Caenorhabditis elegans: one gene and its partners. The protein of the gene in region 1 purifies or fractionates together with the protein of each later gene. This does not show direct contact. Each region holds a gene or a part of one and is shown in the gene's direction. Other genes may lie near its edges.

Evidence for each region.
Region 2: the proteins of rrf-3 (region 1) and eri-9 purify together in Caenorhabditis elegans (affinity purification with mass spectrometry, with the first as the bait; one study listed by BioGRID). This does not show direct contact.
Region 3: the proteins of rrf-3 (region 1) and drh-3 purify together in Caenorhabditis elegans (affinity purification with mass spectrometry, with the first as the bait; one study listed by BioGRID). This does not show direct contact.
Region 4: the proteins of rrf-3 (region 1) and B0001.2 purify together in Caenorhabditis elegans (affinity purification with mass spectrometry, with the first as the bait; one study listed by BioGRID). This does not show direct contact.

Annotation. Positions count from the first base shown.
Region 1 is NC_003280.10:8,160,779-8,168,489, forward strand, and holds the start of rrf-3 (RNA-directed RNA polymerase), read left to right. Parts: upstream 1-1,686; 5' UTR 1,687-1,779; coding exon 1,780-1,847; intron 1,848-1,902; coding exon 1,903-2,512; intron 2,513-2,558; coding exon 2,559-2,794; intron 2,795-2,841; coding exon 2,842-2,955; intron 2,956-3,005; coding exon 3,006-3,363; intron 3,364-3,408; coding exon 3,409-4,228; intron 4,229-4,275; coding exon 4,276-4,547; intron 4,548-4,592; coding exon 4,593-4,834; intron 4,835-4,876; coding exon 4,877-5,088; intron 5,089-5,134; coding exon 5,135-5,822; intron 5,823-5,870; coding exon 5,871-6,594; intron 6,595-6,638; coding exon 6,639-7,096; intron 7,097-7,141; coding exon 7,142-7,247; intron 7,248-7,298; coding exon 7,299-7,490; intron 7,491-7,536; coding exon 7,537-7,711. Other genes in the region: emb-27 (Cell division cycle protein 16 homolog), read right to left, coding at 1-116, 160-559, 606-1,110, 1,155-1,259, 1,306-1,391.
Region 2 is NC_003281.10:4,930,703-4,935,424, forward strand, and holds eri-9 (Zc3h12a-like Ribonuclease NYN domain-containing protein), read left to right. Parts: upstream 1-1,776; coding exon 1,777-1,819; intron 1,820-1,845; exon of another isoform or gene 1,846-1,871; coding exon 1,872-1,992; intron 1,993-2,038; coding exon 2,039-2,189; intron 2,190-2,234; coding exon 2,235-2,423; intron 2,424-2,475; coding exon 2,476-2,618; intron 2,619-2,673; coding exon 2,674-3,068; intron 3,069-3,119; coding exon 3,120-3,388; intron 3,389-3,435; coding exon 3,436-3,840; intron 3,841-3,881; coding exon 3,882-3,956; intron 3,957-4,006; coding exon 4,007-4,216; downstream 4,217-4,722. Other genes in the region: C26E6.12 (OBG-type G domain-containing protein), read right to left, coding at 1-227, 276-399, 451-622, 674-879, 929-1,128, 1,178-1,277, 1,324-1,457.
Region 3 is NC_003279.8:7,819,170-7,826,856, forward strand, and holds drh-3 (Helicase ATP-binding domain-containing protein), read left to right. Parts: upstream 1-1,661; 5' UTR 1,662-1,673; coding exon 1,674-1,771; intron 1,772-1,830; coding exon 1,831-2,004; intron 2,005-2,257; coding exon 2,258-2,333; intron 2,334-2,380; coding exon 2,381-2,462; intron 2,463-2,507; coding exon 2,508-3,032; intron 3,033-3,219; coding exon 3,220-3,345; intron 3,346-3,391; coding exon 3,392-3,573; intron 3,574-3,654; coding exon 3,655-3,836; intron 3,837-4,033; coding exon 4,034-4,359; intron 4,360-4,795; coding exon 4,796-5,076; intron 5,077-5,119; coding exon 5,120-6,028; intron 6,029-6,467; coding exon 6,468-6,568; intron 6,569-6,624; coding exon 6,625-6,763; intron 6,764-6,810; coding exon 6,811-6,917; intron 6,918-7,019; coding exon 7,020-7,071; 3' UTR 7,072-7,209; downstream 7,210-7,687. Other genes in the region: D2005.4 (TPR_REGION domain-containing protein), read left to right, coding at 31-36; D2005.7 (NAM-associated domain-containing protein), read left to right, coding at 410-599, 650-862, 1,004-1,068; glna-3 (Putative glutaminase 3), read right to left, coding at 7,322-7,684.
Region 4 is NC_003282.8:12,145,962-12,152,694, reverse strand, and holds B0001.2 (uncharacterized protein), read left to right. Parts: upstream 1-1,717; 5' UTR 1,718-1,730; coding exon 1,731-1,783; intron 1,784-1,856; coding exon 1,857-2,028; intron 2,029-2,082; coding exon 2,083-2,213; intron 2,214-2,592; coding exon 2,593-3,286; intron 3,287-3,333; coding exon 3,334-3,690; intron 3,691-4,225; coding exon 4,226-4,326; intron 4,327-4,379; coding exon 4,380-4,620; intron 4,621-4,664; coding exon 4,665-4,784; intron 4,785-4,836; coding exon 4,837-5,159; intron 5,160-5,440; coding exon 5,441-5,802; intron 5,803-5,858; coding exon 5,859-6,085; 3' UTR 6,086-6,214; downstream 6,215-6,733. Other genes in the region: B0001.7 (Movement protein), read left to right, coding at 1-47, 168-373, 426-507, 557-723, 770-880, 927-992, 1,048-1,186, 1,239-1,321.

The DNA of each region.
Region 1 (7,711 bases):
TTTCGACGCTCTGTAATAGCAACTCATGGACTGTTCGTGTTCAACTTCATAGTGAAGAATATGACCAAAAGCCACCCATCCTTCAGCAAACGTCGAATCCATCATCGTGCATTTACCTAAAGAAGCTCTATTTAAACCTCAATGAAATGGGAAACATACTGATGAAATTTCGAGCTCTTGAGTTTGCTCCAATACTATAATAATACATAGCAACACAATACCATGGAAGTGGAATATGAGGATCATCACTAACTAGTTGATGACCTAATTCAAGCAGAGATCGAGAATCCTTTAACATTGTTAGGCAGTGAATACGAAGAATAATGCACTCAGGATGTGGTCCAAATAGATCAAATAGCTCGTCAGTGATTTTTTTTGTTTCTCGAAATCGACCCATCTCGTAGGCACGTTGAGCACGTTCCATAAGAATTCGTGGATCATGATTTCCTTCGTGTAACTTCAGCTGTTCATTTCTGACTTTTCTGTACTTCTCCCACATCGCAGGCTCAACCAGATTGTATTTTGCCATTAATCGTTCGACATGGAGAGTTGTATTATCCTGAAATAATAAAACACGGTCAAATCATGTATAAAAGATGACTTACAAGACTCAGCGCGTAATTAATACAAATCATTGCAGCATCACGATTCATCAATTTCAAAAAACTTTCTGCTATGGTTATCATAAGAGCTGGAACCATTCTGAGCTTTTTAGAGCTATTATCCAATTCGGCCATATTTGCAAATGAGTACTTCATTCTTTCTTCCTCGACATATCTCCCCGTCACTTGTGAAAGTGTTCGAACAGGAAGAGGTCCAATTTGGCCATTACTTGGAAGAAGATGACCGACCGATAATTCAGCTACATCTTCGTATAATTTCCGTTGGAAAAGTGCGGTAGCGGCATAATAAGCAAAAACAATGTGAATCTGATGATAGTTCCCACGAGCAATAATATGGCTAATACGCCGCCATTGACGGAGAACGACGAGAATTTTTACGTATTCAGCGATGGTGACAATATCTTGCTGTTCATCATCAATTATATTAGAGTATAATGTATCCGCGTAAGCTACAGCTTCATCGGTTCTGCCGATTTCAAGCATTTCCCTAAAAATATAACATATTAATATATATGCTGGTCTCAAACTGACATCACTTTCTCCATGCTCGCCTCGTCATAATACTCCGATCCATCAATTCTACTTGCAAGTGTTTTAATCGGCTTGAAACGAATAGACTCGTGTTTCGGCAAATCTCTGAAAAATTGTAGTTTGAAAAAGAAATGTTATTTATTAAACTCACAAAGATGATGCTGGCTTGCTTGAGGAACCTTCATCAGCCAATGTCGGAATCGCAAAACTTTTTGTATCAGGCGAGATCGCGCTCATGCTGTAAAGGCTTCGTATATTTGTTTAGTAAGTAGAGAACTTAAGTTAAGCAACAAGAATTGTAAAATAGAAATTCAATAATGACGTTAATTGCAATGGAACTGTTGTGAAAAAGTGTTGAGATTATAGTCTTATTTTTAGATTATAATTTTACAGCTTACACGGAGTAGTTACAGCTACTTTAACTAAATAACATAAAGGCGCGCCTAGGCGCTTAAAAACAAAATAAAAAGGATTTAATGCTTGATCAAATTTAAATTTTAGCCGTAACTGCGGAGTCTCGTTGCTAATTGTCAATGGAGCGAACATACATCATCAAATTTTTGAATAAAATTGTTTCTCATTTTTTTCGTAAAATAAATGCCATTTTCAAAAAGTCTTTCACAAAATGCTCCCGTTTGATAATGATGACTCTAGCGATGATGCTACAACTTCTGTTAGGCCGAAGCATCCAAGGTAATTGAAATTCGGTGAGCAAACGGTAGTCAAATGAAACAATGTTTTTTTCCAGAGGAGTTCCTCAGAGTCAATCAACATTTCCACGTGGTAGATCGAATTTTTCGTCTGGAACTTTACCAAATCGAAAAACAGAATGCACTCCAGTGAACACCTTAACAATTGGGCATTCAAACAAGATGCTATTGACAACGTTTCGGATGGATCGAAATTCAAAATCTAAATCGGAAGTTGACGTACAAGAACAGCCTGTTCACTCTTCATCGTCGGCTTTTCCAGGAAATCATTTAAACAATTTTTCGTATCCAGTGAATCGTGGATATCTTCGTGATTACCTGCTACAGTCACAAAGGCCTTCTACTTCAAAACCAGTCGACTGTTCTGTTCTAAAACGGCACTCTCTCCCATCAACTCACATTCTTTATGAGAAAACGAAGCACAGAGGTGGTGTAAATATCGAAGAACAAGAAAAACTCGTGCGGATGTTATGGGCCGCTGCAGAAGAATCGGAAACAGTTGCGAAGACGAGACAGTTTAGTAAAAAACAGGCGATTGAGCTGAATTTCGATGCTAAGCTCATTGGCAGCATGAATAATGATTGCTTTGGATATTGCCGAGCACACATGGAAAATATAAAAGATGTTTTGAAAACACACTTGAAATTGGTAAGCGATTTTTTAATTGGCCGTATTTGAAACAATTTAATTTCAGTCTAAAGTTGACGAGGTAAACTGGATCAAGGTGGGGATGGTGCCACGAGCTGCGTACGAAGATAAATCATACGTCATCGATGCTCATTTAGTTTTGACGCCAAACGGTGAAGTAGAAGATGAAAATGAATTGTTCTCCGAGTTCGCATCAAGTTTCACATCTAGAATAACTGGAATGCTCCATGATCAAGTATTTTTGGAAGTCCCGAAAATGCATACGCTTTTCACAAAAATAACGTAATAGAATACTCATCCGCTTTTTATATACTCAAGTTATAATTTAGACCCCAACACATGGATATAAATATTTCTGCGATTGCGATTGGAAACTGCCCTAATTCAGGACTTTTCCTTGTTAGAGGAGATTTCATCAGTCAAGAAAACACAGTTTGTAGTGTGTAAGTTGCACATATTCTACAGAATTTCTAATCAGATTTTTGTTTTTAAGAAAGCTTCAGTCACACCATAATGCAGATGCATCCCGTGAAAACAGTTCATTCAAAGTGGCAGGAAGCAATAAATACCTCTCGTATGCGAGATTTGAGCATGACAAAAGACTGGCAGTGGTATATTTCGGAGTTCGATTAGCCGAATTCGCTGATGATGGTTTGGATCATGCCGGATTTCGTCTTAATCTATATTATAATTTGTTTGTTCGAATTGTTGTCGACATGTCTCATGAAACTACGAACAGTATTTATATACAAATGAAAAATCCACCGCATCTCTGGGAAGGAATTCCGAAAAATACGATTTTTCACCCATCAAAGTCGAAGGTTCTCAATATGGAAACGTGCACAGAATGGGTGATATGGTATGCAAATAACTTTTAAAAACTTGTAAATTTTCAGACAAGAGTATTGAGTTGGCCTGGCGATGCTGAGGGCCGAGGTGTCGGTTGTACTTCTGAAGCTTTCTCGCAAAGCTCCTGGATCCGGTTGACAATGAGAAAAGATGATGATAACGATTCGGTATCGTCTACACAATTGATGGATATTGTTACTAGACTTTCTGCTCGAAGCAAAGCAAAAGTGATGTTCGGCTCCATTTTTTCAATTCGCCGAAAACTTGCACCATCCCCGGCTTTCCATTCTCTGGGATCTTTCCGAGCGAATTATGCTCTCCAGGCTCTAATCACACGCGGAAGTGTATTTACGGACCAACTTTTCGACGCAACTGATGAAAATATTCCAAGTTCAGACAATGACAATGATGAAGATGATGACGATGATGTTGATGACACGAAAAAGCCAATGGAATTAGTACACGAGCCGCTCTTTCTGAAATTAGTTCGTAGGGGAATGAAAGAATGCTCTCAAGCCACAGAAGAGACTCTCGAACAACTTTTGAATGCATTTGATGAACGTCGTCAAATCGATGTAGTTACCGCGTTCACAACAATGTATCAATCAAGAAAGATTCAATACGAAAGACTTCTGAAAGGAGAAAGCCTTCAAGATGTAGGCCTTGCAAAGCCATTGCCGAAGAATTGTGTTTCAGTGGCTAAAGTTATTGTAACACCATCTCGAATACTGCTAATGGCTCCAGAAGTAATGATGGTAAATCGAGTTGTTAGAAGATTTGGACCTGATTATGCTCTTCGTTGTGTGTTCCGAGATGACAATCTGGGCCGGCTCGCTATTCGCGACTTTTCCATCAATAATATAGATCGTAAGAAATTCTTTAAATATTTTTAAATATATTATCTAAGTTTCCAGACATGTCGAATATTGTCACCGAAGGAATTTATTTGACTCTCAAAAATGGAATTCAAGTTGCTGATCGTGTCTACAGTTTTCTAGGATGGAGTAATTCTCAAATGCGTGATCAAGGATGTTATTTATACGCTCCTCGAGTCAATGCATTAACTGGTGAAGTCACAGGAACTGTAGAAGATATTAGAGTATGGATGGGAGATTTCCGAGATGCGATTAGTGTTCCAAAGATGATGAGTCGAATGGGACAATGCTTTACACAAGCACAACCAACGGTATATTCTAGTGTTAAAAATATTCATATAGTCGAAAATATTCAGGTACGTCTTGAACGACATCACTGGATCGTTGAACCTGACATTGAAGGTGGTGTAGAGAACAAATATTGTTTTTCTGATGGTTGTGGTCGAATTTCTATCAAACTGGCAACACATATATCTAAGATTCTCCAATTGAAGGAAGTACCAGCTTGTTTCCAAGTGCGATTTAAAGGTTTCAAAGGAATTCTAGTTATTGATCCAACAATCGATGATATTATAAATATGCCTAAAGTTATCTTCAGGTAGTGATGATCTATCAAACAAATTATATGATCAATTTTCAGAAAAAGTCAGCAAAAGTTTGGTGAAGGTGGTGGAGAGCTGCAAGATGAATACCTCGAAGTAGTAAAATACGCTATGCCATCTCCAGTTTGTCTCAACCGTCCATTCATTACAATCCTGGATCAAGTGTCGGAAAAACAATCTGCAAGCTCTCACAGAAGGATCACAAATCGTGTTCATTATTACTTGGAAAGAGAACTATGTTCTCTGAGTAGTATGTAGTTACTGTATGGTTACAAATCATAATCTCCTAATTTTAGATATGCTCATAAATGAAAATCAAGCAGCAGAAGAGCTAGTCAATCGCACAAACTTGGCAATCGACTGGAACGCAGCAAGCAAACGAGCCGGGTTCGAATTGAGTGTAGATCCATTGATACGAGATATGCTATTCTCTATTTATCGCTACAACATCATCCATCACATTTCTAAAGCTAAAATTTTCTTGCCTCCAAGTTTGGGAAGATCAATGTACGGTGTTGTCGATGAGACTGGACTTTTACAGTACGGACAGGTTTTCATCCAGTATTCACCAAGTATCCGACAAACCAGTAACCGTCCAATATTGAAAACAGGCAAAGTTTTGATTACCAAAAATCCGTGTCACGTTCCTGGAGATGTTCGAGTTTTCGACGCAGTTTGGCAACCAGCATTAGCTCATTTAGTCGATGTTGTAGTATTTCCACAACATGGCCCACGACCACATCCCGATGAAATGGCAGGTTCAGATTTGGATGGAGATGAGTATTCTATAATATGGGATCAAGAAATGCTACTCGATTATAATGAAGAAGCAATGGTTTTTCCGAGTAGTTCAGCTGCAGAAGAAGACAAAGAACCTACTACAGATGATATGGTTGAATTCTTCCTTCGATACCTTCAACAGGATTCAATTGGAAGAATGAGTCACGCTCATTTGGCTTATGCTGATCTTCACGGACTTTTCCAGTATGTTCCTTGAAATTATCCATGTTAAGCCAATATCTTATTTTTCAGCGAAAATTGTCACGCCATCGCGCTCAAATGTGCAGTAGCTGTAGATTTTCCGAAAAGTGGAGTTCCCGCGGAACCATTGTCAAGTTTCGAGCAATGCGAAATGACACCTGATTATATGATGTCAGGTGGAAAACCGATGTACTACAGTACCCGATTAAATGGACAATTGCACCGAAAAGCTCGAAAAGTTGAAGAAGTTTTGGAAGAATTTGAAACACGCGGGAGTGTATTCGAAAGAGAATATGATAAACTGATTTGTCCAGAAGACGTTGATGTTTTCTTCGGAAATGAAATAAAACTTGTACAAACATTGACTCTTCGCGATGAATACGTTGATCGAATGCAACAACTTTTGGATGAATATGGAATTGAAGACGAAGCTTCAGTTGTGTCTGGACATGCTGCAAGTATCAAGAGATTAGCTGGAATGGAGAGAGACGACTATTCATTTTATCACACTGATAAGGTCGTTGAGCTTCGTTATGAAAAATTGTATGCTGTATTTCGTGCAAAATTCTTTGAAGAGTTTGGTGGAGAAGAAATCAACATTGAGAATGATGGAAAGAACACTCGGTTGAAATGTACGAAGGCAATGCATGAAAAGATTCGGCAATGGTATTTCGTGGCATATGTGCAGCCAAAGATAAATAAGGCTGGAAGATGCATTGGACAGAGTCTTCCCTGGGTTGCTTGGGATGCATTGTGTGATTTGAGGCGACAATTAGTAAGTTAAAATTATGAAATAAATATATTAATTTTTTGTTGCAGATGCTCGATAAAAATGACGCAGTTTTACGAGGCAAATATCCAATTGCTGCTCGTTTAGAAGAGGAGATCGAAAACTCCATTGAAAGGCAGTTTGACAAGTTTCTCAAATTGAAAGATTTGATTGAATCTCACAAAGATGCGCTTTTCCTGAGACGATACGTATATTTTTATGGAGATCAGATTATAAAAATGTTGTTCATCCTGAAAGTTTGGCTTGAACGAGAAAATGTGCTCCCATCAAGTGTTTTGTCGATTTGGCAGCTGGGAAGACTTTTGATTCGTCTAGGGCTCGGAGATCTCCTGGGAAATCCCACTATTGATTATGAAAAAAGTCTTCTGATGCCAACAACAATGTTTCAGCAATGGATTTCGAAGAAAGAAGATGCAGATGAAGCTCCGATATTGAGAAATTTCGATATGGGAACAATGATGCTCGAATTTCTCAGATATTTGGCAAGGTAAATTTAAAAATCTAGTGTTGGAAAAATTTTTCAATATTTCAGTCAATCTTTCGCATCAGCTGAAAGCATAAGTCTTCGAGTTTTCTACGAAAAAGATATTGTTGAGCCAATACTTACTAAAAGTGCACAATGGATGCCTTTACATCTTGTAAGCTCGATCTTTAATATTCCAGATCTATCAACAAAAAACATATTCCAGATTGCATATCGTACATTTCATTCCATCGCTGTGTCTGGACGGTTTGATGCGCTTCATTTGGACGATGAGGATGCGGTGGATCAGATTACAGAAAGCAAGGATCCAATACTAGTTAACGAGTCATTGTTCTCTTCGAGAAACTACAACGATGATTATCCGATCAGTAGGAGTAGAATATTGCAATCTTTGAAGGTAAGTGGTTCGAAAATACTTTTCGTTTCTAGTGAAAAACTTTCAGGATTGGTCTGGTGTCAAAGAAATAATTCCTCGCGAAATCACTGGAACTCGGAAGTCTGATATGATCTATGTTACATCAGTTGGAACGGTTCTTGCACGACAACGCCTCGCTCGACTTTTACTTCTCAGTGGAGAGACAATTAGGGACGCGATTGCCAACAACGTCGTGCCGAATG
Region 2 (4,722 bases), on another chromosome or scaffold:
CTCTTTTTAACATGTTTTGTGTTTTCTGGATTATCTTGTACATCTTTCAAAGCATGAAGATGGTGCCTCATTAACTTCAGAACATTCGTAAATTCGTCGATTTTTCCACTTCTAGCACTGAGTTGCACAACGTGTTCGAATCTCATCGGTATCTTCGGCCTCATCTCTTCAGGCACCATATCGATCCATTTTTGAGATTGAAGAGATTTAGCAAGAGATGAGATATTCTAGGTTAAGAAACAATTAGGAAAATGATATATTATACAAGTTCTTACGGTTTTTTCATTTTCATCGAGTGCGTCAATTTTATTTAATACACATATTACAGGTTTTCTTGCTAATTTTTGATTATAGAGTTCCACTTCGCGATTTAAAAGAGCAATTGATTCCAGCGGGTTTCTGAAAATGTAAAAGTCGTGCTTCAGTGCCAAGTCGTTTAAAGAAAACTACCTAAAAGGGCAATCAAGTTCATTTTTCAACTGAAATCCTTGACAATCAACAACCATAACAACAATATCAGCATATTCCAAATGTTTCAGAAACTTGTATCCCTTGCCTCGATTCATAGATGCACCTTCGATAATTCCAGGTAAATCGGCAATAGAGAGAGTGAACGATGGGTCTAAAGCTTTGAAATTTAGCTTAATTGTTTTAAAAAATAAGGGAAAATCACCTTCAACGCTAAATTCTTCTTTATTTTTAAAAAATGCTACTTGCGGATTAACTGTTGTAAAAGCATAATCCGCAATTTTAACAGATTTTTCTGGAACCAAAGCCTTCAAAAGTGTTGACTTTCCAGCATTTGGGAATCCAAGTAATCCAATATTCGGCCGCAGTTTTAAGTGAATTTCCACGTCAAAGGTGTCACCTTTCGAACCTCTGGAAATTATTATTTTTGAATTTTTGAGATTTGAATTTGAAAACTTACTTATAACCGATTTTAGAGTATCCACCTTCACCTCCGCGTGCAATAAGATATCGATGGAAAGGTTTGGAGCAACGTGCAATTAGCTTGTTTTTCTCTCGATCAACAACTTCAATCCCAACTGGAACATCGAAAAATTGATGCTTCGCGTGTTGTCCAATCAACATGATTTTAGTGGCTGCTTCGCCGTTTTCTGATCGTATCTGAAATTGTTCGATTTTAATAGAATAAATAAAGCTTAAGAAAACTTACTTTCATTTTGTTTTTAAGTCGTTTTTTGATATCTGTGAATGCAAGTGAAGGTTTTGCAACAAAGTAAATGTCTCCTCCATTTCCACCGACTCCGTTGTACCTGAAGAAACAAAAAATATGAACTTTTGTGAACAAAAGAGTATAACCTTGACAATCCAGAACCTCCAGAACCTGCTTTTATGTTCACCAAGTATTTATCGATTTTCAAAACATTCAAATCGTCTTTTATGAGTTTCTGGACTTGAGAAATGGTTTCGCGAAGAAGAAGAGTGAGTCTCATCGCGTGAGAATTCTGAATTTAAATTATTTTAGAGAACGGCCGTGGCCGACGATCGTCTCAAATTTAGGTCATAGGAGATGATTTGAAACATTTTTGTTGAAGAGCGCTGAAGATTTTCATTTAAAAAAGGATGCACTTTATTTTTTCTTTCAATGTTGATGAAAACTTGTATAATTTAAAACAGGTGGTTATATAAATTCGTTTCATTACGATTTTCTAGCTGATTCCGTTCAATATGTTTATGTAATACCGAAAATAAATAATAATAAATAATAAAAAAAATTGATTAAAGCCGTATCATCGTGAGAATTAAAGGCGCATGTCTGGAGTCCAGCTTTCGTTGCGAGACCAACAGAATTACCGTAGGAAAGTTTTAAAAACATTTTTTGTTTGAACAGTTTCTAATTTTTACAGCGTATCCTTGTGCCGCCTCTCAAGTAACTTTTCTTCTATATAATTCTCAGATGTACCGATTCTGTGTGGCATTAACACCAAGCACCTCAGAGGACGAGCAGGTTGTGAGAAAATCAGAGAAGTACATATAAATATAAGTCTATTCTTCATCTGGATCAAAATTGCAGGCCAGCTTCAAAACCACCGACTCCCGAGGTAGAAGACTGCACATTTTCTGAAAAGAACAATGATCAAAGAAAAATTGAAAAAGAAACAGAATCAGAAGAATCGAGTAATTTGAAATTTCCGCCTGCTCGACCATCAATTCGGAATGCGACGGTTTGTTTGTATCATGTTAATTAGAAAAATGTATTACTATTTCAGAATTTCCGCCGAATAATTTGTATTTCTGAATCAGATAGTGGAAAGGAAGAGCCGGTAGTGAAGAAGGAAGTCTTGAAAACAAATAAACTCAGAATATCTGAAACGAAGCCCGAGTATCCTCCAGAACTTCTACAACTTGAAGCAAGACTCCAGGAACTTCGAGCTGGCCGAAAAAATAAACAAGGACGAGTAAGCTGTTTTTAGGTTTTCAATAGTTTATTGAAGATATATTTTGTTTTAGATAAACCGCAAGTTCGTGGCTAAACCCTGTGGAGTTGTGAGTGGAGAGACACCTCAACGTCCATTTCTTGAAGAAATGTATTATTTCAATCCTCAGGAAACTGGAACTGCGAGCGAGATTTTCGACATGCTTTTCCCTGCAAAGTAAGCCTTTTCAATATAGAGTGAATATATTTTTTAATTAAATACCTTTGACAAGTTTCAGAGATACTCCAAATTTTCGCCCATGGCTTGATGGGCACTTTTCGGCTCCAGATTTGCAGTTCAAACAAATAGAAAAACAACGACAAACTAAACTCCATTCATACACAGGGACCACGTTACAAGAAAAAAAACGCAAAAAACGAAAAAAAATATTGAAAAGTATTCAAGAAATATTGTGGCTTCTACACTTCCAGAAACATGATGATTTCTTGGAATCAACGAGTCGCCTCACAATTAAGAACTTTTCATGCCATTTTGATGAACATCAGCGGCTTAAATTGCTGCGTAACAACGATTTATCATTAATATGTAATTATCAAATCGGATCAGAAAATACTCCAATTTTTAACCAAAGAAGCACGGATTGTATGCTTAGACCCGTATTTATAGGTTGGTTACTTTCATATTTAGATGTTTTTAACTTTGAATAATTCGTTTCAGATGGCTTATCATTCATGGACATGCTAATTCCGATCTCATCGTCGCTTCCAATAATTTCCACGAGATCTCTACTTGAAATACTTTTAAATTTCATTCTAGACGGGTGCCAAACTGTAATATACTTGCCAGATTATTATAACGATACAACTAACCAAAAAGTCGATGACTCGACTATTTTTCAATTCTTGTGCAATTCAAAACTTATACAGTTTGTTGACGGGCGGAGTCGGAGGGCTGTGGAACGACAAGTATTGCTTGAAGCTGAAAAGGTTATTCTTTTAGTTTCAAAATTCGTTAATTTGAAAATAAATTTTAGGTCCATGGAGTCTTTGTTTCCTCAGCGGAAGAGTTTCTAACCCGAAACGCTATTCAATGCTTTCCAGTGATTAATCGTTATTCTAAAAGACTTGATGAATTTCTAATTTGCACAGTATTCCTAGTCAATAATCTTCCGAAAAAAATACTCGCACAAGATTTCGTTGAAGAATCTAGAGTTTTGAAACCTGAAGGGAGTTCTTCAGCCGTATCAAGCACAACTGTCCTAGAAGAATCACATCAAAAAATCAGTGGAGCTATGGAAGACTCTGAGGATGAACCTGCTGATCCACAAACGTTGAAACAAGAATATTTGATTAAAGAGGAATGTTCTGAAATATCAGAAGATTCTGAAGAAGGAGCTATCGTCGATGTTGCTTCCAGCTCAGGCGACTTATCCGAAAACGTAGGTGCAATCTAAATTTTGTAAAGTCTAAATTTTTTCAGCGTGATCAGAAATCTGAAAACGAAGAATTTGAATATTCCCCGCATCAGTTAACTCTTGAGCAACAAACATATTTGGTTATTTTTTCCAGTTTTCCGTTCAGATTGATTTATCATCAATATTTCAGATTTCCTCTATGGCGCAACTCTCTATTTTCCATTTCCAACGCTATCGCCAAATAAGAGTATTCCTTATGATTATAAAACGTTACGTGCCAGAACTTTTACCTAGTTTTATGCAAAAAACTCGCATGGATGATGTTGCTATGGCAATTCAAGACATTCAGAACGGGAAGGACCTTCTTTATTGGCCTATTTTCTCAAAAATTGATAATTAATATGTTCAATAAAAATATTTTCGCATTTCTTTGGTTTTAAACTTTTATTTTAAAAATTCTTGGTAATATATACCCTGAAAATTGTATTTTAAACAAACAATTGCATTTTTTGTTTGAAAAATTTTATTTGAATTTTCTGGCAACAACACTCCGAAATTCCGTATGCGCGTGTTGTTTAGCCGCATACGAAACACCCAGTTTCTCAGGAGCATTGATTAAAGTCGGGCTAAAGTAAAGTTAGCAAGCTTCTTTTGAATTTGAAGTTCGTCTTTTAGTTATAATTTCATTTTAAGTAATATGCCTAACCTTCGAATTATTTGTTCTTCTCGATTTATTCGTTAGTTCCTCTGTTCTCAGTATCTTCCCGTCAGATTATCATTACCGACTTTTTTATTCCCATTTTTCATTACTTAGCAGAATCAATCACTTCATTTGGCTGAATAGCTACTATTTTAACACAAGTTTCTTTGATGCTTGTCAGAAGTGTTATTCATTCAAGGTATAAA
Region 3 (7,687 bases), on another chromosome or scaffold:
ATAATTCCAATAACTGAGTTTATTTTCCAGATGTAATCTTCGTGCAATACTTGTAACATATCACAAATGCATTCATCATCGTGATGAGTTCAACAGTTTTATTCAAAAATTTTGAAAATGCTCAAGTGACGAACTTTTTTTCTTTTTTTTTTTGTTAAGATTATTTCATTTCCCTTTAAAATTTTCTCTATAGAGCTATAGTATCGTTGTTCGTGTTTTCTAATAAACGCTTTAAAGTTTTGTTCTATAGGTTTTTATTGTTATCCAATATTGGTTTTAACCAGAAATATGCACTACATGTTATGACACTTTTCATATTAGTATTACTTTTTATTGTTTAACACGTTAACTTTACCGAGGTTTTGCAGCCCTACCCGTGTCCTATTTTATGCTGATATTCATCTTCCAGATGGGCAACAAAAAAAATAAATCAAGTGGGTCCCGAAAGAATCATTCTCAGCATTATTCTCAGCCAACAATGACCGTAGAGGAGTGCTTGAAGGAGTACGAGAACACAGGAAATTTCGCCAAGTTCTACCCGAATTACATTTTCCAACGGTTGCCAAAAGAGTTCCTCCAAAAATACTTAGCCTCTAAAAGTTCGTTTTACAAGAAAAGTTGACAAGTTTAACAACCTTCGCAATTTCAGAAAATAAAAATATTTCTAAAAATCCATCACTAAGTTGTTCAAACTCTACATTGGACAATATGAAAGAGACGTCGAAAAGTATCTATGTGGACGTGGATCCAGATGATCCTCTCTCCGATGAAGCATTCACTGCTCAACATCCTGTGGAAGAATGGTTTCGACTTCCTCTCGAATGGCGCATTGAGATCGAAAGGCAGCGTTTTGTGAAAAAAGGTATTTTATTCATGGCTAGAAAATTAATCCTACAAAAAACCGCTTAAAACTCGATTTTTGAGTAAAGAAAGAATTTAACAATTTTTCATATGGATAATTTATTAAATATCGAAAAAAAGCATTTCTCTTATTTTCTTTCAGAACGCGCCGACCGTGCTGCTGAAGCTGCCAGGAACTCCGCTGAACTTCTAAAGCCAGACGCTTAAAAGTGCATCAACGATTCGTTTTAACGTTGTAAAATGTTATTTTCGATGTTTTCTTTTCATCCAGTTATTCGTATTAATTTGCCATTCATCAGCTGAAATTCATCCCAACAACCTGCCGAAAGAATTTTATTTTCTGTTCTATCTTTCAAATTTCCTTTTCTTTTCTTCATTTTCTGTTGGCAGCTGCTCGTATTTCCATCACCGGTTCCCGTGAATTTGCAGTTTTAATGAAAGTTTTATTCTTGTTTTAAATATTATGATTTTATTTTCTCACAAGGTTGAAGAGCCAAAACATTTATTTATGTTGTAGAATTTAAATACTAATTTTATTGATTCCGCCGTTGCTCATCGTTAAATATTGAATACTGAAACCAAAACTTCCCTTCCTGACACTACTTGCCCTTCTTTAACACTAATAATGGTTTTCTGTTCATTCATGTATTTCCCTCTTAACTTTTTATCATTGGCAAGAGGAAGAGAAAATCATTAATGTGAAAACCTCTGCCACACTTGTTTATATTTTGTGCGCCAGTTTGAACAACATGTCTTTTTGTCGTTTTGTCGGCAAAATTTAATTTAATAATTTCCTACAGATATTTTCGATAATGCAACCAACTGCAATACGTTTAGAAGATTACGACAAATCGAAGCTTCGCCTTCCGTTTGAGTCTCCATATTTTCCAGCGTATTTTCGTCTTCTCAAGTAAGAAAATTATACATTTCCCCCCTTGCACTCGATCAAATAATTAAATATTATTTTAGATGGAAATTCCTTGATGTATGCGTGGAGAGTACACGAAACAACGATATCGGATATTTCAAACTATTTGAATCGCTGTTCCCGCCAGGAAAATTGGAAGAAATTGCCAGAATGATCATTGACGAGCCAACTCCAGTTTCTCATGACCCGGACATGATTAAAATCAGAAATGCCGAGTAAGACGACAGAGAAATCATGTATTAGAAAAACGTTCCAACGAAAACAATTTCTTCGGTGTTATCTATATCTGTGACGGCAAGGATGTCGAAACGGAGTTTTGAAAACATAAAATTGTTTTAATGACTTAAATTTTTATAAAAAGTTTAAATATCGTGAGTTTTCGAGTCACAGAAGCTTAAAAGGTCAAAAAAAAGTATTATGGTGTCTGGAATTTTCGTGCCATATTTTTTTTAAATACCAATTTTTCAGTCTCGACGTTAAAATCAGAAAACAGGCAGAAACATACGTTACATTGCGTCACGCACATCAGCAGAAAGTTCAAAGGGTAAAAACACTTTTGAAAAACATTTAATAAAATAATTTTTATTTCAGAGAAGATTCTCGGAATGTTTTTTGAACACTGTTTTGTTCGATGAGAAGGGACTCAGAATTGCTGACGAAGTGATGTTTAACTGTAAGTAATCGTGAAATTTCAAACGTTTTGAACTGTAAAATTCAGACGATAAAGAACTTTATGGATACTCACACTGGGAAGATCTTCCTGATGGCTGGTTAACTGCTGAGACTTTCAAAAATAAATTCTACGATGAAGAGGAAGTTACCAATAATCCATTTGGATATCAGAAGCTTGATAGAGTGGCTGGAGCTGCACGTGGAATGATTATTATGAAGCATCTGAAATCGAATCCACGTTGTGTTAGTGAAACTACAATTCTCGCTTTTGAAGTATTTAACAAAGGTAATCATCAACTATCAACTGATTTGGTCGAAGATTTGCTAACCGAAGGACCAGCGTTCGAGCTGAAAATCGAGAATGGAGAAGAGAAAAAATATGCTGTGAAGAAATGGAGTCTTCATAAGACTCTCACCATGTTTCTCGCAATCATCGGATTCAAATCGAATGACAAAAAAGAGAAAAATGAACACGAAGAGTGGTATTACGGATTTATTGATGCAATGAAGAATGATCCAGCTAATCGAGCGGCTCTCTACTTTTTGGATAAGAACTGGCCAGAAGAGCTTGGTAAGTTTTTTTTTGTTTGGAAATTAAATAGCGGCAAACATTTTGTACTTCAGATTTCAAAATACTGAAATTATTTTAATACAATTTTAAATAATGCCTAACTTTTTATTATTCGGCCATCTCATGCTATTTGATGTATTTTACGAATTTCGATTTACAATCTAGGCTTAACTAAATCAATTTTCAGAAGAACGAGAGAAAGAACGTGACCGTATCCGCCTTACCCTACTGAAAAGTCAGCGGACTAACGAGGAAGCTGTCGGCGAGGATGTTTGCACGACAATACGTCCACAACCGAAAGACAGCGGCTACAGTAAGATTATATTTCCAACATTTAGTGCAAATTTTCCTTTTTCCAGATCCAGATGCGGTGGTTACTGAACTTGTATTGCGTACTTATCAAGAAGAACTTGTCCAACCGGCTCTCGAAGGAAAGAATTGTGTTATTGTTGCTCCGACTGGTTCTGGTAAAACAGAAGTGGCAATTTATGCGGCTCTCAAACATATTGAAGAACGAACATCCCAAGGAAAGCCTTCCAGAGTATGTTTTTTTTTTAATTTTCTCGTCAAGTTCTAATATTATTTCCCCTTGATATAGAAGCAATAAAATTTTATTTTCCAGGTTGTGCTCCTTGTGCCGAAAATCCCGCTTGTCGGTCAACAAAAAGACAGATTCCTGAAGTATTGTAACGGAATGTACGAAGTTAATGGTTTTCATGGATCCGAGAGCAGTGTCAGTGGAACAGGACGTCGTGATGAAGTAATTGCTACTCATGTATCAGTTATGACTCCTCAAATTCTGATGTGAGTTAATGGAATCAGGTTCATTAAATTCTGAATCGAAAATTTCTGATATAACTCATTAATTTTTTATTTTACTTTTTTTTTTCAAAAAAAATTATAAATTATAAAAAGAGTGCAATTTTAATCAAGATATATAAAATGTTTAATTTTTTCGGATCGAGCTCTGGTTTTTATAATACCCGAACTAATTATTTCAGCAACATGCTTCAATCGGTACGTCAAAATGAGCGTTTGTATGTGAGTGATTTCTCAATGATGATCTTCGATGAAGTACATAAAGCTGCAAAAAATCATCCATATGTGTTGATTAATCAAATGGTTCAAGAATGGAAGTATGAAAAACCACAAATCATTGGTCTGACAGCTTCATTGAGTGTCAAAGTTGATGGACAAAAAGACGAGAATCAGATGCTTAATGATATTTATAATATGCTCGCATTGATCAACGCTCCACATTTGAGTACAATCACTCGCCAATCGAGCATAGATGAGCTCAATGAGCATGTTGGAAAACCAGATGATTGTAAGTTTGTTCTCAAGTTGGAAATTTAGTTTTTTTTTTCTTAAAAACCATAAATAAATTTTAAAATACAAATAAGATAAATTTCTAGGTGTATCAAATTATAAAAATATTTATTTTCAAGTTTACACAGTTCAAAAAAATTTGAAAATTGTAAATTGTTCTTGTAAAATGAAAAATGGTTTCTAAATGAAGTGTTGTAAACAGGAATTGAAAAAAAAAACCTTCGGAAGCTGAAAACCCACTTTAGAATCAAAACCACGGTATTGAAATTTCCTTTGTTTTCCCTTATTTCTCATGGTATTGTTTAACTTCAAGCTAATCCGGCAATTTCAAAGTAAATTCCTCATTTACTCTATTCCAAAAATAACCAATTACTTGTTTTCTCTTCGGAATATGAAATTTCATGAGAGAATTATTTCAAAAAAATTCTTCTCAGCTGTCGAACTATGCTTGCCTGCCAAAGAAAATATCCTTCGAGATTACATCGAACGATACCTTAACCACGCCCATGGCAAATTTCTCGAAGAATTAGCAAGCATGTCTAAATCAACTGGCCGCAACAACACTATCCCACCGAATATGATTAACACGTTTAAAAAGAATCAACCGAAGAATTATGAGTACTACGATTCATTACTTCAAGGTATTATTCAAGAGTTGAACAAATTGAATGTTCCTGAGAAATGGAATTCTCAAACTTGGGCGAAATACATGAAGGTTTGATTCATTTTCAAAGATTCTTGTAAATGAAATGATTTAGGTATATCTCGAAGCTCGCGGAATCGTTGATCTGATGCCTGCGATGGTTGCATTCAAATACATGGAAAAAGCTATTGGGAAATTGAATGAAAGTCATTCAGAGACAGTCGAATACAGCACCTTCATCAAAGACCATGATACTTTGAAACAAACAATTCAATCCGTTGAACCAGAAATTGTTCTACGTCTCAAGAATACACTCACCAATCAGTTCCACGTGGCTCCTGAATCTCGAGTTATTATTTTCGTAACACAAAGAAGCACCGCTCAACGTGTCAGTGATTTCTTGAACGAATCTAAAGTTTTAGATCAATTTGGTAATTATGGTGAACAAATGGTTGGATATGTTCTCGGAACAAACAAACAGGGCGCTGTACAGCAGACTTCACAAGAACAACAATTGACACTTGATAAATTCAACAATGGAAGACTTAAAGTAATTGTGGCAACGTCAGTTGTTGAAGAAGGTCTCGATGTTACTGCATGTAATCTTATTATCAAGTACAACTGTTCATCAGGATCAGCCATTCAACTTGTTCAACAAAGAGGTCGTGCACGTGCCAAAAACTCTCGTTCTGTGCTTTTATCAGTGAAGAGTAGTATCAATGAAACCGAGACTAACGCGTTAATCTCTGAAAAGTATATGAGACTTTGTGTGAAGAAGATCACAGAGAATGGCGAGAAACAATTGGCTGCAGAAGTGAAACGAGTCGCTGAACTAAATGCGGCTGAAAGGAAACGAAATCTGGAAGAGCAACTCAATTTGAGATTACGACATGAGAATAAGATTTATAAATTGATGTGCAGCAATTGTTCAAAAGAGTTCTGCAAGAGTATTTATATCAAAAAAGTGTTCTCGAATTACATGGTGTTCGATCCAAGTGTATGGAGATTTTTGCATGTTGAATCGGTACGTTTGATGAATGCTCAAAAACCGGAGCCGGCTTGTCGAAAATATAATTTTAATGAATTTTGTAAGATTATACTCGTAGACCAGGGCTGTAAAACCATTTTCCCAAAAAACCGAAACCTAAAATTTCTCAAAAAAAAAGACAATTAAAAAAATTTCTGTCACTAAAAAATCGTTTTAAAGTAAAAAAATCGCTTTATTCATCTGAAATTAACTTATTCAGGTTGAAACATTTATAAAGTGCTTAAAAATTACCTGGAAGTGTCGAATTGCCGATTATCAAATTGCTGAATTTCCGAACTTTGCTTTCCGACAATTGACTTTCAGGCTATTTTTGTGCAATTTCCAGATGTTTCAAGTAAATGTTTTTTTCAGCTAAGCCGACTTCTGTTTATCATAGAAACGCAATTTGTGATTGTGAAAAATTGAATTTTTTCAGAAGCGAAAGGTGAGTAAGTACTTGAGTGAGGACAATCAACCACTCAGTGATATCAAATGCTTCCATTGCAAGTTGGATGTTGGAAGAGCTTACAAAATAAGGTAATTGAAATTTAATTTATTTAAAAGTCGTTTCTTATAAAACAACATTTCTACAGAGGAACCTATTTGCCGCAACTCAGTGTCAAGGCGTTGACATTTGTTCAAGAATCAGACTATTCCTCGATGACAAAAGCAAAATGGTCGGATGTGGAACAGGATCTGTTTTATATTTCAGAAGCAATCGAGGATGACTTTGTAAGATTTTGGTCACTTGATTATTTAAAAATTGTACGAATTTACAGAGAATCATGTTGAATGCGCTCTCCGATACTGAAGAAAATATCGAAAAGAAGATTGTTCTTGATTTGGACTCACGACAACACAATAAGCAACTCGAGATGAAGAGATTGTAAGTGTGCTCTGGATTGTGATTCCTTTTCTGTTTAACACTTTCGAAGCTCAAAAAATACGGATAAACTCTCTATTATCATAATAATGCTTTCATTTTCAGCCATATTCAACAAGAACCACCAACGAAGGGAGTTGCACCAGAAGCTCAATGATCATCTCAAGGATTTCCAACTTGTACGAGAATTCAATTTTTCTTAATCTTTTTTGTTATTTTAATATCATTCATCGTGTTCTATTTACCGAGCAATTTTCATTCGATCTCTTGAATAATATAAAGCTCTATTTAGTTTTATTTTTTTAATTGATCTTTCAATTTTTCTTCCAACAATTTGACTGTAAATTAACAAATGACAAAAAATGGAATGATTTATTAATTTAAATCAATTTCTAGAACATCTATTCCTAATCATCTTGTCCTTTAAGATTGTAAACCGTAATTGCCTCTTCTAGCAGCTTAACACAAGCAGTATGATTAAAATGTTTAGCATCATCCAATGGAGTTCTATCATATCTATCACATGGATTCGGATCCTCTTGCCATTTACTCAATACGTATTCCAATGTGACAACGTCTCCTTCAGCAGCAGCCACGTGTAAAACTGTTCGATCATCATAATCTTTGCAATGAATATCATGTCCCATCAAAAGGAATCGTTTAATTGCAGCAATATCACCCAATTTTGTAGCATACATGAAACGATTCTGACCGTCATGATCATCTTTCAATTGACGACGAGGATCGATTTTCTTATTATCCGAGTAGATCTG
Region 4 (6,733 bases), on another chromosome or scaffold:
CCAACGAGACGCCATGGAGACTTCTCACATCATTCCTATAGAAAAGCGTAAGTAAATTTGACAGATTTCATGTGAAATTCGATTCATCACATGAATTAGAAGCAATGTTATTCAAGACCTAGTTAAGATTCCATGGCTTATTTCCAATAATGATGTCTCATTTACAGCCTCTAATTCAGGAACTATTACAAACAATACTGGAGTGACTACATTGAAGTATCAACAGCCCCATCAAAATCCCCATTATCAGGAGCAGCGTCGAGATTATTACATGGGAAACAACATTCAAATTCAAACAGCATATAATTCCACACAACTTCGGAAGTACCAACCGAAACCGAAGAAATTCTCGTCATATACCGGAGAATCATTGGTTCGCTCTAGGCCTATATTTTTTTTCGAAATTAATTTTTTGCTTTTTTCAGGAAGGTCATGCGCTCGTCGAAAAGATTATGGCTCATGCGAAAACCGGAATCTTATGGTTCTTTGATAATTATAACTCCAGTGGTATAACTTTTCAGAAAAAAAATTATTTGAACACATTGAATATATTCAGTTCACTTCATTTTCGATGATTTTGAGTTGAATGTTGGTGACTATGCGTATGTGAAGCTGATCCAGAAGAAAGAGGAAACGGCTCATCTGCAATTTCGATGGAAATGGATATCTGGAACAAAGAAACTTTCACCATTCAATTGTCGCATCGATCTGTTTCAGTTGTTTGTATGTTTTCAGAAATTATGATAACTTTAATTCGGTTCATTTTCAGATAGAGGAACAAGTGTCTTACAAATCAAAGGACATGTTAAACAGAAACACATACACTTCCAAAAACTTTCCGATAATTTTCGATGCTGATGGAATTATCAAAAATCCCATTGTAAGATAAAGTCGTTTCGTTCGAAACATAAAATTAATTATTACAGCCAGGAGCCATATATTGTGTGGTTATTCTTCGAAAGAAAATTCAAGTGACGCAAACGGAAAGCCCGGTAAGTTGAATTTTTTTTATAAAGATAATAAAGTTTTATATTAATATTATTATAGACTCACAAATATCAATGGATTATTGATTCTGCTCAGAGCAATCCGTTTATTATAACGGAATACTACAATCCTCACAATGCTTTCAACAGATCGTTCATAGCCTCAAAGCAATTTTCGAGTTCAGCAGCTTTATCAACTGGTAAACAATTATCTATATTAGCTACTATAAATAAACAAAAAATTAATTTCAGACTCGAAAAAAGGATCCTCCGGTTCTGAAAAATCATCGACGTCTCCTCCGCTGAAAAGTCTCACGCCACCTTCAGATGAATAATTATGATGACTACTAACTTTTTCTTCTGTTTTGCATGTTATTTAATCATATTGAGACAGATCTCCCTACCTGAAAACGTGTTCTTTATAACTTGCCGGGTGCCGAGTTTTTCACGGTTTCTGTCCAACTTGCGCATTAATCGCGCCCCGTATTTGTTGTATTTTATAAAAGTTTCCCAGTTTCTTATTAAACTTTGTATCTCTGTTCATATGTACCATCCGTTTCCACCGGAAAGTTGTATCTTCTTGAGAGCATTGAGAGGCCAGAAAGAATTTTGTTTAGTGAAGCAAAACATTTTTCACTTTATTTAATTGCCGATTGATTAAAAAACGCCCCCAGATGTCCTGTTTTCTATTACAAAGTTTCCCGTCTTGAAACATTGACCGTTAATATATTTTAGTCATAAATAATGCTCGGATTAGCCGCACAACGAAAATCAAATGGGAAAGTCGCCGTAGTCTCGTGAGTTTGCTATTTTTTCTAAATAAAATAATATTTTCTCGAATTAGGTTTAATAAATATTTTCAACTTTCAGTCCAACAGATGGAATCGAGTTCGATGTTAACGAAGATATTCTGAACATCCACATGATCTTTCTGGGAGACTTTTGCCAAATCAATGTTGAGAATAATATTCCGATTTCTTATTCAAAAGTGGAAGATGCGTTCAGGTCTTTAAAAACTGAAGTGAGAACAGATACTGTTGAGGTTAGTAAAAGCTTAATTTTCTTAAATATTTGTTTTTATTAATTATTTATTCAGGTATCCGGTGACACAGGAGTTCTAACTAGTGGACTTGCTCCATTTTATAAAACGAAAGAATTTGGAGATGTTGCTTGTAAAGGCCAGGCTCCAGGAGAGGCTGGAACAAACCATAATATTATTGTGTCTAGGTAAGATTTTTGTATCACTCAGATGTGAGATTTTTCGATTTTTTGCGTCAAAAAATACAGTTCCCGGTCTTGACACGAAAAAGTTTTTTCTAAATTCGAAAGGTGTGCGCCTTTAAAAAGTACTGTAGGATCCAAGCGTTGAAATTTTCATCGATTTTTCAAGGTTTTTCTCTCGGATTTCTTATATTTTTTATCGAAAAATCGGCAAAAGTTTTGCAGCGGCGAAAGTTCGAAACTACAGTACTTTTTAAAGGCGCACAACTTTTCGCATTTAACAGAAATTTGTCCTGTCGGGACCATTAGCCGTATTTTTGATGAATATCTCGCATCTTGATAGTATTGTGTCGTACTTTAATATACTTTTGATTTTTTTATTCAGATTGCCAGAGGAACAACGTATCGGTCTATACTCGAAGTTCGTTTGGCAAGGATTATCGGATGGAAAAATAGAAGTGATCTCCAAAACGGCGGGTGTTCTAACTGAAAGAAAAGAGAATAAATCGAATGCAAAAAAATCTGAAGCAAAATCGAAAGAAGAATACACAAAATATATTATCGGAGTTGTTACTGGAAAAAATCAACGAAATAACGCAGTTTTCGTTACTTGCAACCTCACATATCCAGGAACCGACGGAATAATCGAAAAGAGTCAACTACAAATTGGTGATTGGGTTGAAATTCGGTTTACGAAAAAAGATTTCGTAAAATACTTTCCATCAAATCCAACTGCAGATACACCGAGATTCAATGTGAAACATTTCGAAAAAATTGAAAAAATCGAAAATTACTCTGTAACATGGGCCGGCAACGGACCACAAGTGAAAATCAGAAACTTTCAATTTCCGGCTGGACACGTTCAAGGACAATCTGTCGAGGATAGATTCCTGGGAACTATTGCAATTAGCAAAAAAATTGTTACCAGTGAATCTAAAGTCGATGTATTGATCAAGCACCGAAAATTGTTCCAAGCCGGTGACGGAAAACAAGCGACTTGGTTTTTCAAAAATGTCATAAAATCTGAAAAAGATTCGGAGGATTCGGGGGATTCGGAGAATGAAAATAGTTCATCTACGGTTTGTAATGGAGATATTTTCCAACAATTTTTTAGTCTTTCTTTCAGGATTCTCGTCCATCAAAACCAAAGAAAAATGTAGAAAATAAGAAGTCAGAAGAAAAAATTAATAATTCAAGCGAAAAAAAGGAATATTCATCCAATGTACCAAAAATCAACTATTCACATCTACCTGAACCTTCTCCAATGAACTGGCAAATGGGACCACCAGGAATCATGCATCCAATGAGACCAATTGGACATTTTGGAGCAATTCCCAATCCACTTATGTATTCAATGCCGTATATGTCAAATATGGCAATTCCTCCACAAATGATGAATCGTCAGCCAGTTCCAACGAATAATTCTGAACCGGTGATTCATAAAAAAGGATTCAAACCATTGATTTCTACGGAGAATCCACTTGTACGTTTTGGGAGAATGTGAATTTTATAAAAACTGAAGCTGTAGAATTCGTTTATTGTGTCATTTTTAGGTGTTTCTCACCAGAATTTTCACAAAAAAAGACCAACGTTTGTTAACAAAAGAAATTTATTTGAGATTTGAACCAAAAAATATATAATTTTTTTTCAAGAACAAAAACGAAAAAAACACTTTGAAAGTTTGATACTGTATTTTGAAAAAAGTTTCAATATTTTGGTATATACTCTAGTTATAATTTCGAGTGTTGTTTTTTTAAGGAAAAAAGTGAAATCTAAAAATTTACGTCTTTTCTAGTTAGTGACAGGTTACTTTTCTGTTGGGTATCAACGTGTATTGACCCACATTTTCGCTCACTTTTTCTGAAAAAAAATGAAACAAAAACACGAGAAAACAAAGAATTTAGAAAAATATTTTTTTTTTTTAACAAAAAACACCAAAAATTCAACAAGAAACAGCAGTCTTAATTAACTTTAGCAAATTTATGATAGAAAAAATTACAGAATGATTATTATTTCAGGTTCTGAAAAGAGCTGTGATCACCTCGTTGAAACCGAATAACGGAAAACATTTGTATGGAAAGGAAAAGATTGCGTTTTTGTGGCTTCTCGATGATCACAAGTAAGCCTTCTAATATTAGTATCTAAAAAAAATAAAATCATCTAATTTTTCAGGCAATCAGTCTATTATGTCTCTAAGAATGATGGCATTGAGCCAGGCCACTTCTTCAATGGTCTTTTTGCATCTAATGGTGACAAATGGGAATGTAAGAAATACGTGAAACCACTTGGAAAACTCATGGACGGAATTGTATCGAATGATTCGATTGAGCTGCAACTAATTGTTGAGACATACTTTCCACAGTCTGGAGAACGTCTGAATCCCGAGACATATCATAGTTTCATTGGAAAAATTGTTTGTGTGAACATCAATAATATTAATGATCTTATATTTTTCAGGTAGACAAATTCAATAAACTTCCAGAAGATTGCTCAAGAGGAGTGAAAATTAGCATCAAAATGTGGAATATCGTGGAGCGAAATGAATGGTGTTGGATTGTTTCGAAAGTGTTTCAGTCGGTAGGGTTACTGTAATTCTAAAAAAATTTCATAACGAATTACTAAATTACAGAAACACATCCAACTTCTCACTGAATTCCACCAAGCATGGAATGCTCCAGGAATTCGTAAATTGATCAAGCTAAAGTGTTTGTCATTATTTGTAACAGTTTGTGAACTTTTCGACACAGTCCAGGATGGAAAAATGACTCATGCAAGGAATCAGTTGAGCAATGGAAGAGCTTCGGCGGAAACTGATAATAAAGACGATGGGAAACGCTTTGGATGGGTCACTTGTCATGACGGAGACTTCATTAGAATGGTGGTTTTCCCTCGAATTGAAGGACAAAAGATGAGCGATATGAAGAAGAATATAACGGATAAAAATGTCTTCAAGTGAGAGTTTGACTAGAAATTTTTGTCCAGAAAAATTCCGATTTTTTTGCTAAAATATACGGTCTCAACACGCTTTTTTCAGAAAAAAAATTGAAAACATAAATTTCAACAAATCGCGAGGAAAACGACGAAAAATCGATTAAAATTGCGCAGCAACGAAATTTTGAAATTACAGTACTCTTTAAAGCCGCATACCTTTTTGCGCCGTGTTTTTGGCTAAAAAATCGTGACATTTTGCGCCTGGATAATATAATTTTTTTAAATTTTATATCTAATTTCAGAAATGTTGAAAAAATGGAATCTCGCCACCTCTATGAAGTGATTCTCGATAAAGATGGAAAAGTCGTCGAATTGTTCGATTGTCCACAGTACTTTACATCTAATTCCAAGGGGGAGGTGGAATTTAAAGTGATTTGCAGCGATGAATGTCTTCTTACAAAAAATGTTGGTCTCATGGAGCCAATTGGTGCACCAAAATGGATCGGAAAACTGATGTTGTGCACAGAAGATCGTCCAATTCCGAAAAAGAAGATTCTAATGAATGCGACGTTCAAACTTCTTGAAGATGATGATCTTTTCGTTGACGAGGATCTTGTTCGTGAGGAAAGCGTGTGCTTCGTCAATATTGGACGCGGTGAGAAAAGTGAGCAGATAAAAGAAAATTACAGCTGAATTTTTCAAAAATAAATAATTTTTCAGTGGAAAATCAAGACATCGACGAAGTCTTTAAAATAGAGAAGAATGACTCGGATCGACAAGTGAACAACTTGTTCCGCACAAAATTGACGTGCATGCCAAGCGAGACCATTTATTCGCAGTTCGTTCAAGTGTGCAAAATTTTGAGCAACGAAGATATCGTTGATGAAATGAACAAAAGAAATATCGATACGGATTTGCTGATCAAGCTTCAATCGTCTTCACGTTGAGTATGAAGCTTTTACAAAACTCGAAATGGAATGTTTTGAACGAATTTCCAAACATTTTAAATTATGTTTTTTGTATTTTAAACGTGTAATTTTACAATGCATCCGAAATAAAAAGTGCGAAATAGTTTTTATATTTTTTTTGCTGTTCCGTTATGTTCTTTTCCATTACTTTCATACCTACTTTATATTTTAACCAGAAAATGTTCCTACAAAATACTTTAGAACACATTTAGTTTAAATTTTGGACCAAAAACAAACAAAAATCTAATTTCTCCCAATACAAAACTGTTTCCAAAGCTGAATCTGAGAAACTTTTTTTCGCCAAAACCCGAAAAAAAAATTTTCGAAAAAGAAAATAATTTAAGTTTGAAAAGCTGTTTTGAAGAACTTGAAAGATTTATTTTGAAATATTTTAATCAAAATTGCACTCAAGTCGTATAATTTCAAGTGAACTTTTTCGGTTTTTCGGTTTTTTTTGCTCACTTTTACGAAAAATAGATATTTCGCTAAAAACACATTTTTTGATAAACAGCGGTTTTTAGTTTTTTTCCCGAAAAATTCAACAAACAATTTTTAAAAACGAGAGTCCTGAATACGAAATACAAACAAAATTCTCCGTGTTAATTCTACAAATTTGACTCGTCGTAT